Schizosaccharomyces pombe: one gene and its partner. The protein of the gene in region 1 interacts with the protein of each later gene in a pairwise test. Each region holds a gene or a part of one and is shown on either strand. Other genes may lie near its edges.

The links. Proteins that work in one complex are often made in the same cells at the same time.
Region 2: the proteins of bqt2 (region 1) and bqt1 interact in a two-hybrid assay, tested with the Schizosaccharomyces pombe proteins (2 studies listed by BioGRID).

What each region holds. Positions count from the first base shown.
Region 1 is NC_003424.3:1,805,559-1,810,396, reverse strand, and holds bqt2 (bouquet formation protein Bqt2), read left to right. Parts: upstream 1-2,615; coding exon 2,616-2,679; exon of another isoform or gene 2,680-2,754; coding exon 2,755-2,914; exon of another isoform or gene 2,915-2,994; coding exon 2,995-3,127; downstream 3,128-4,838. Other genes in the region: RNA polymerase-specificity factor Mtf1, read left to right, coding at 1-374; SPOM_SPAC1002.07C (N-acetyltransferase Ats1), read left to right, coding at 1,156-1,231, 1,479-1,597, 1,656-1,690, 1,737-1,767, 1,859-1,969, 2,021-2,155; histone demethylase Jmj2, read left to right, coding at 3,600-4,838. UniProt on the Schizosaccharomyces pombe protein: Involved in chromosome segregation. During meiotic prophase, connects telomeres to the spindle pole body by forming a bridge between the telomere protein rap1 and the spindle pole body protein sad1.
Region 2 is NC_003424.3:3,270,793-3,275,815, forward strand, and holds bqt1 (bouquet formation protein Bqt1), read right to left. Parts: upstream 1,908-5,023; coding exon 1,625-1,907; intron 1,576-1,624; exon of another isoform or gene 1,474-1,575; coding exon 1,358-1,473; 3' UTR 1,306-1,357; downstream 1-1,305. Other genes in the region: CHS5-like protein Cfr1, read left to right, coding at 1-1,305; puf4 (RNA-binding protein), read left to right, coding at 3,343-5,023.

The DNA of each region.
Region 1 (4,838 bases):
CCAAGGAGAATTATCAAATTTCTCCAAATCCTTTATTAGTTTCACCCACGCCAATTACTAGTGAACCGCATAAAGAGGACCTTACTTTGGTTGAAATGTGCTCCAAACCACAAGATAAACAATTGTCTATTCCAGTGTTTGAAAGCATTGTTAGGATACTGTTGACATGTAAAGCAACATCACTTTCAAAATCCATTTATTATTTAGGCCCAGGTGCGGAAACTCTATTACCCTCCTTCACCCAATGTGGGATTAACATCGATATGCCCGTTGGACTATTGAGTGCAGCCGACTTTCTTACCATTTCAAAAATTATACAAAAATATCCTTTCAAACATCATTTACATTTGGGTACAATAATTGAAGATTCATAAAATTTACAGAAAATTGGGGGAAACAAACGTATTGATTGTTTTTGTTCATACACGCATTTCTTTGCATCCAGTAATTTTGGTTTTTTAAAACCACTCTCTTTTTTATCATTTCTCCACTTCATGTTCTACTCATTGCGTTCTGAGGCCACTGTATTTCATTTATTTGCCTGTGCCATATTCGCTACATCATTAAAGGATTTGTTTGCGTTGAGACACGCGTTCATTCTAATCACCATATTTAAAATAACTTATGCTTGCTTAATCTATTACTAATTTATTCAATTTAAGTGGATAGCTTCCGTTCAGGCTTGTTTTACGTTCTTTTATGTCTCTCATAGTCTCAGGTATCATTTTTTTTTTGGAAAGTGCATAAATGCAATATGGATTTAACTGAGCTATTTTAAATGGAAGTTTACATCTTTCAACTTTTTTAGATGTTAATTAATACAAATACCATAACTTCGAAAAACTATTATAATATTCTTTATTATACCATGCTGTTTATTAAATTGTTTACTGAATTAATGTTTCATTATTATGAGTTGCTTTAGCTTTCAAGGTAGTATTTAATAATCGTTCAGTAGAAAAGCGGATTATTCATTCCCAAACATAAAAAGGTAAATGGAACATACTAGATTAGTTTCTACCCGTATTTGGCATTCCAAAAATAATATGATGAGATCTCATCAGTTTAAAGTGCGCTAGACAATAAACTACCATTAGGCCACGCATATTATTTACTGTTAGCACTGCACACCAAGTAAACCAATTAATTCAAAACATGGGTTCAGTTCGCATTCGCTCTGTCATTAAAGAAGATCTTCCGACCGTTTATCAGTTTATTAAAGAATTGGCAGGTAAGCGCCGTTATGACCAAGAGGACGAAGTCGTGTAGATTCTATTAAAAGGCTAGAGCTTTTGCCAGTATCCCAGACTCACAGGGTCTGATTCTCTTATTGAATTGGAGATTACTCTTAAGCTTTTTATATGGATTTGAGAATATATGGTTTTCGTCAGCAGGGTCGATCTCTACTTCTGTCCGCATGCTATCAGATCAGTTTGTGTTACTATTTAAAAACCGGTTTTAACATTTTGTTTATGAAGAATTTGAAAAATGTGAAGATCAAGTGGAAGCGACAATTCCGAATTTAGAAGTTGCATTTGGATTTATTGACGAGGTTACTCCTGTGGCATATGGAGTATTCATCGAAGAAAATGATCAGGTTCGTAAAAAAAAGTAAACTTGCTTGATCTTTTTTACTAATCTATAATTGCCATCAGCCCGCAGGAATGGCTATATATTTCCTAAATTTTAGGTAGTGAAAAGTTCCGTTTTGAAATATATGAGCTGACGTTGAATAGCACGTGGACTAGCAGAGTGGGGATTTATTTAGTATGTTCTTATCATATTGTCCTTCATAACCTTTTTATTGAAGGATTAACTTTTGATTTCATAGCAAGATTTTAACCATTCAATTTCTTAGGAGGACTTATATGTTCGACCCCAATTCCGTGGAAAAGGATATGGAAGCTACTTACTGTCTTATTTAGCACGAGAATCACTTAGAATTGGTGGCAGACGTCTTGACTGGGTTGTAAGTTGTTTATAACCCATTTCTTTTTTTATACCTTGACTAATACCCTAGGTCCTTGATTGGAACCAGAGAGCCATTGAAGTCTATGAAAAGGCTGGAGCACAAAAAGTTGGAGGATGGAGTATGATGAGAGTCACCGGCGAGAACCTAAAGGCTCTTGCTGATAAACTTCCCGGCAACTTTTAAACTCATACCCAATACTTAACGCTCTAAAAAATTGAAGCATGATATGTTATACCTTTGAAACCTTGAACTGGAAAGAGGAAAATTAATTTTTTATGATTGAAAGATCCTGGATCTTGTAGTTTCGTTTTAAAGCGGTCATTTCAATGTCTTTAGGTTATTTCCCGTTTACCAAAAAATACGATATCAATTTACATCTTACATTTTTTAAAATTAAAAAATAAAGAATCCTTTTTTTTGCAAAGTAAATTATTAGAACTGGTATATTGTTCTAATGTTAATTCCTATAAAACTAATTTGATCGTTTTCCTTTCAATTCATCAAATCGGCTTCTTATTGTGTATTAAAAAATAGAAAGAAAGTATTGGTTAGTATTCTTGAATATCTTTTATTGTGTTTCTTTTTCGAAACGCGTCGCGCGCAATTGTAAACAAACCAACTACCTACAACAGTTTGCCTGTCAATGTTTCAAGGAAAGTGCGCCTTTTTTGATGAAACCGTACCTTCTGCATTAATTGCTTTATGGCGTAAGTTTTAAAGGTTTGATGTGCACTTGTTTGTTGTCGAATGATTTATGGTTCAGTTGTTCTTACTAAAGATAGAATTACACAACGGAGAAGCGAAATTTTTAGCAGAAGGTTATGAAAATTTTGATTATGCATTTTCAATGCATCTAAGAAAGCACGTCCGCTTGCCAAATTACAAATCAGTTCAATGTCGTTCTCCTTGGTGGATTGCGGAGCAAGTAGCTGTTTCCAGAAGGTATTTATTAAATTTACTAAATATTGCATTGATAGTTTATCTTATCATTTACCAAGGCAAGTACTAACCACCATTATTAGCAAAAGTTACGTTTCTGAACCTGTCATTCATTTGAACGTGATGGAACCTTTATATGTTGATCACAGAATACGTTCAGTGTATCTACAGCCTCTGCCATCCACGCTTTCTTTTCTAAACGGTGAATTACCTTGAAATGCTTTGGTGCTGATATGGCGTTGTTCCGATTGTAAATTCTATGCTAATTGTGAAAAATACCTTTCCTTTTTCTATCCTTTATAATTTAATGATCGTTCCTTTAGCTCTCAAAATCGTCAACTGAAGTTGTCACAACCTTCACTTAACCATACGTTACGAATATTAATTTAATGCCTATTTATGCTATTAGCCTAAGATTATTTTCGAATTTTACCTAATTTCTTTATTTATATCCCATAAAGACACTTACGTCTTTTCAATGGACAATTGAACAAGTATACATTGCATAAACATAAAAAACTTACTTCATCTAAGTCCGAGTTTAAAAACTGTTGTTTCCATTTATTATTTCTCATTTACGTTTCGTTTCTTTTTTATTCTCTATTTTTTAATTCTTTTTATAATAACTTTTTTTTTCTGGAATCGCTCACCATTCGGACTAATTTATCTACTTATTTGCATAGGAAACATGAGCAAGTCTACTTTTCATCAAACTTCCCCATCTTTTGTACAATACACTCATGCTACAGATAAACTAAAACCTGCACCTCATGGGATGAATACGCGGGGAAATAACTTATCCTCTATGTCAAAAAATACCGGACAAAGAAAACAGCGTTCCAAATCCATTCATGGACTTCCAGTTGCTCCCGTTTTTTATCCTGATAAAGAGGAATTTCAGGACTCTATCGGTTATATTAATAAGATAGCTCCAATCGGTGAAAAATATGGTATCATAAAAATCGTTCCTCCTGCTGGTTGGAATCCACCGATGCAACTTGACATGAACAAGTTTTCCTTCCGTACTCGGCGGCAGGATTTGCATATGATGGATCTTCGATTTCGTGAAATAGTCTCTTACGATGAACGCGTTTACCGTTTTTTTTGCAATCTGGGCATGGAGCTCCCGGAATCATTTTTTATTTCCAATACGTCTATCGACTTATACAGCTTAATGCGTTGTATTGATTCTCATGCATCTCTAAGTGAGAAGGAATTAAAAGTTCATGTATGGAAAAGGATTTTACGAGAACTTTCAATTCCTTTTACTAATGCATCATTAAAGGAAGCAAGTGACTTGTATTTAAGGTATATTTTTCCATTTGAGGATTTCGTCAGAAAATATCAGACCTCTGAGGATCAATGCTTTGAAACTGATCTCTTCCCTAAATTTTTTACAAAAGACGAACATTCTAATATTAGTATTAAAGATCAGAAGACATCTAAACAATTTAACCCCGAAACTAATGAGTCCGTAGGAATTCTTCAAAACCAAGAATCCAAGAGAAATGAGCAGATTAAACAACAATATATGCCAGCCGATAATTTTGGATCAAATGATAATCACTCACATAATAAAAAGCGACGATTGAGCTCTCTGTCAACGAATAACAACCACTTATGTGACAATTGTCACAAACCTGTCAATTGTGAAGTCGAAGATACGTGTAAAGAAGCGTATTGTACTAAATGTATAATTAATCCATATGAGTTTGGGTTTGAAACAGGGAATTATTATACTTTATCGAACTTTGAAAAATACTGTGACAATTTTAAGAAAAATTATTTTTCTAAATTTAAAGACTCGGAGATAACTGAGGATATTGTTGAAAAAGAGTATTGGAAACTCGTAAAAGACAATAATACAAGCCTTGAAGTGGAATACGGTGCAGATTTATCAACCCTTGATCAGGGCAGCGCCTTCCCT
Region 2 (5,023 bases), 1.5 Mb from region 1:
ATGGAGGCTTTACAAAAGTGTATTGAACGCATTCACGCTAGACCAATTCAAACTAGCGTTCGTATCGATACAACTCATTTTATCTGCTCTTCTACTGGGGGTCCTGAGTACGAAAAGGCAAAAGCTGCCAATATCCCTATTTTAGGTTTGGATTATTTGTTGAAATGCGAATCTGAAGGACGTTTGGTGAACGTTAGTGGTTTTTACATCGAAAATCGCGCTTCTTACAATGCTAACGCTTCTATTAATTCTGTAGAAGCTGCGCAAAATGCTGCACCAAATCTCAATGCTACAACCGAACAACCGAAGAATACCGCTGAAGTTGCTCAAGGTGCTGCATCAGCTAAAGCTCCACAGCAAACAACCCAACAGGGAACTCAAAATAGTGCAAATGCTGAGCCATCTAGTTCAGCTTCTGTTCCGGCTGAAGCGCCTGAAACTGAGGCTGAGCAATCAATCGATGTTTCCAGCGACATTGGTTTACGAAGTGATTCTAGTAAGCCCAATGAAGCTCCAACTTCTTCGGAAAACATCAAAGCGGATCAGCCAGAAAATTCTACAAAGCAGGAAAATCCCGAAGAGGATATGCAAATAAAGGATGCTGAGGAACATTCGAATCTGGAAAGTACACCTGCTGCCCAGCAAACTTCCGAAGTTGAAGCTAACAATCATCAAGAAAAACCATCTTCTTTGCCAGCCGTTGAGCAGATTAACGTGAACGAAGAAAACAATACCCCGGAGACTGAAGGACTTGAAGATGAAAAAGAAGAAAATAATACAGCCGCTGAATCTTTAATCAATCAAGAAGAAACTACCTCCGGTGAAGCAGTTACAAAGAGTACTGTTGAATCCTCAGCGAATGAGGAAGAAGCTGAACCTAACGAAATAATTGAAGAGAACGCTGTTAAATCTTTATTGAATCAAGAAGGACCTGCAACTAACGAAGAGGTTGAAAAAAACAATGCTAATTCTGAAAATGCGAATGGCTTGACAGATGAGAAAATAATCGAAGCCCCTTTAGATACTAAGGAAAATTCAGACGATGATAAGCCATCTCCCGCAGCAGCTGAAGATATTGGTACTAACGGTGCAATTGAGGAAATCCCTCAAGTTTCTGAAGTCTTAGAGCCAGAAAAAGCGCATACTACTAACTTGCAACTGAATGCGCTCGATAAAGAAGAAGATCTAAATATTACTACAGTTAAGCAAAGTTCGGAACCTACGGCTGATGACAATCTAATACCCAACAAAGAAGCAGAAATTATACAATCTTCTGACGAGTTTGAAAGTGTAAACATTGATTAATGACATTGATCTCTTGTATTCTGCAGTCTTTTTTTTTTCTTATGTTTATATGTTAACATTCTACGAATATCCTCCACTTTTCCAATCGTTTGACTAAAGGCACATGGGAACCATTTTGAACTGTAATGCTCTGGTATCCTTGCAGTCTTCTAGACCATGGAAGTACATCTAAACTCATTTAGCATTAGTAAATATATAGCTTCGGATTTTTTTTTCGTTCTCTAATAAATTTTTTTTTTTAAATTAAATCAACTAGGTCAAAAATGGGTAATGGGAGGTTTTGAAATTATGTTTCATTATACTGATAGACAGAACTTACAATATCGTAGTTTGAAATTCGTGCTGGCGTCTTCTTCCATATGTATCAATGATTCTTTATTTTGACCTTGGCAAAGCAAAGCGAATTGCCATATATTCGGAAATATCGAGTATAAATATTCTATCCTTTCAATTGAAACTTGAATAAGGCTGTGTTTTAAAAATCTAGCATGCTCACAGTTTGAATCAGTGCATACAGGTGTTTGAGTATAAATCGCGATTTGGGTTAAATATTCTACTTTGTTTTGTTCAAAAGAAATAAGCGTCGTAGTTAATAAATGCATTTTGTTTAAATCAGTATCATTTAGGATGGGTGAAAGGATTTTTTTTTAAAACGCGTCGTTTGTAGAAGAAGAGGTGCATAAAATATGAACACACCACATATAATAATAAGAGGATAGACATTAAAGCCAACAACCTATTAAAAGTGTAAATTTGAAATCAAAAAAGATTAAAAAAAAGAATAGGAATCGACTTCTTTTACACAAAGAAATCCACACCTATTTGATATTAGCTTGGACATCCTCTATTGACGACTGCATTTTCTGATAGCACAAACAAGACTTTTTCAGACTTAAATGAAAATTAAATAAACCAACAGTGGGTTTTTTAGGGAAACCTAAAAATTCAGAGAATCTTAAGCAAGTTCTCTGTTTTGCTTTACATAACAATCTTTAACGCCCACAACGTTGTAAAGATATCACCTATAAAAATAAAAAAATTACGCTTTTGAGGAATAGATGTGCTTTTTTATACATATGTTTATTCAAAATACAGCTCACTGTCTTAATCTGCTAAAGTAGTAGACCTTGTTTACCTATCATCTTTAGAGTGCATTAAGCAGTTGTTAAGCGAAAATTGCGTCATCTATTAGTGAGCCTCTGTTTACAAGTTGACGGCTGTTTATGAGTTTTGAAGAAGGAATCCAAAAATAAATTTGATTTTCACTGAAAATCTATGAAATAAATATGTAGCGACTAATCATACACAACAATTGTATCAAGTTGCCGACATAAAAATACCAGCTGGCTCAACCTTTATAGATACTTTTGAAGAGCTCTTATAAGCATTAATTAATGTTCGAATGATGTAGTTATTGCTTAAAAAAAAGAACCGCCTGGCGTTATTCTCGAGTAAAAGTAAAATCAACATGTGCAACGAAGGAATGGATGCACTGACTGCCGTCAATTTCTCTCAGCCGTCCTCCCAATAAAAATCATTAAGACATGTTATTAAAAACATTAAAAGGCATACCAACGGGTGTTGTATCTTACAAATCACCTCATGGGATCTGTTTTTTGTCAAACTACGGCATTACGCCTTACAAGAAAAAATGTAGAGAGTGAAACGAAACTGAATTGGGATGATTCTTAGCATTTAAAAAAATTGTTTTTGTCTTCGAAGCACAAATTTCACATTTTCTCTTTTTTTTCAAATCCTTCCTGCTTCTTCCTTAGTAAGTTGCGTTACCCGTAGTGTTACCTGCTGTCGGTACAATACATCTCACAGTAAGCATGGTTTCCACTCCACACACTGTACAGTCGCCTGCTTAAAGTAAAGTAGAGGTTGTGTTTTTTGTGTTGTATCGTTCTTCTCTACATCTTTTTGTTTGTATCGGGACAGGAAATAGTTTGGGAAAAATCCCCCACTAAGAACAATTTATCCCACGGACTGTTAATATATGACAACAGGTAATCCTTCGCAAAACATAAGCGTAGCATGACCGAGCAGTCTTCTAAATCTCATCCATCCTTTATGTCTACAGAATATTCGCTTCCAGTCTTTTCTTCACAGTACTCTGATATTGAGAATAAAGATGTATTGAAATCGAATTCTTGGGATCCATATGCCGCTAATGCGCCGATTGCTTTGTCTGAGATCCCTTCATCTTCTAAATCCGGAAAAACAAATGGTTCAAAAGCCGCTGTGGAAAGCGGTTTGGCATCCGGCGCTTTCGGAAACCGTACTGGGAACATGAACCGGAATACTAGCATGAGTGGATACACGTTCGGATCTTCGAATTTCGTTCCCTATAACCTTCTTTCTAACACTCCTTCTTTCACTACTTCTCACTCTTCATCAACAACTTTTGTTCCGCCTGCGACTATGGGCGGTGGATTGAATAATTTGTCATCTCCATCTTCTTCTTTATACTTGCCTGGCTCTGCTTCATACCAAAGAAGTAACTCTAAAAATAGCTCGGCTTCTATCTTACAAATGAATACGACGTTAGATGACATCCCCATACTTTTACGTCGTCCTGGATTGTCTTCGTACACGCCCGGACCTTCTACTTCTCGCCGAAGCATCTCTTCGTCGTCGAATCTTGGAGGTAATCCTGGCTTGATCGCCAATAATCCTTCGGCTTCTAAAAACTTTGCCTTTACTTCAGGTTCTTCGTCGACTAATAATTCTACTACTTCTTCTTCATCAATGGCCAATGGTCTGCAATCTATTTCAAAGCATTCAGCGGCCTTCCCTCTACTTTCTAATGCCACTTCTTTCTTTGGTGAAAATTTAACTCCGTCTTTGGCTGCCTCAACGGCCAGTACGGGCAGTACTGACAGCTCTGGCTCAAATATCGCTAACACACTCATTGCTCCGACACCGACTATTTCTCCTCCTTCGGCTAATACTGTAGGAAATCCGAGTCCTGCTGATACCCCTGGGTTTAACGTGCCTAGTTTGATATCCGATGACCCTAGCGTGTCTTCCTCTCTCTCTTCTTCGGTTGCATCTCTTTCATTGCAAAATAGCAATATTCTTTCGTTCTGTAAGGATCAACATGGCTGTCGTTATTTACAGCGACTTCTAGAAAAGAAAAATCAATCTCACATTGACGCCGTTTTTGCTGAAACCCATCCTTATTTAGCTGTGTTAATGGTTGATGCATTTGGTAACTATTTGTGTCAAAAATTGTTTGAGCATGCATCTGAAGCTCAACGATCTACGTTCATTCAAATAATTGCCCCTAAACTTGTTCCAATATCGTTTAATATGCACGGAACCCGTGCTTTACAAAAGATTATTGATTTAGTCTCTTCTCCTGATCAAATTTCTTGTATCGTGAATGCTTTGCGTCCTAATGTCGTGCTTTTGACTAAGGATTTAAATGGTAATCATGTCATTCAAAAATGTCTCAACAAATTCTCTCAAGAGGACTGTCAGTTCATTTTTGATGCTATCTGTGAAGATCCGTTAGATGTTTCTACACACCGCCATGGATGCTGTGTCGTTCAAAGATGTTTCGATCATGCATCACCTGCGCAGATCGAGCAACTTGTGGAACACATTGTCCCCCATGCGCTCACTCTCGTACAAGATGCATTCGGAAATTACGTTTTACAGTATGTTTTGGAATTAAACAACCCAAACCATACTGAGGCTATTATCTCATACT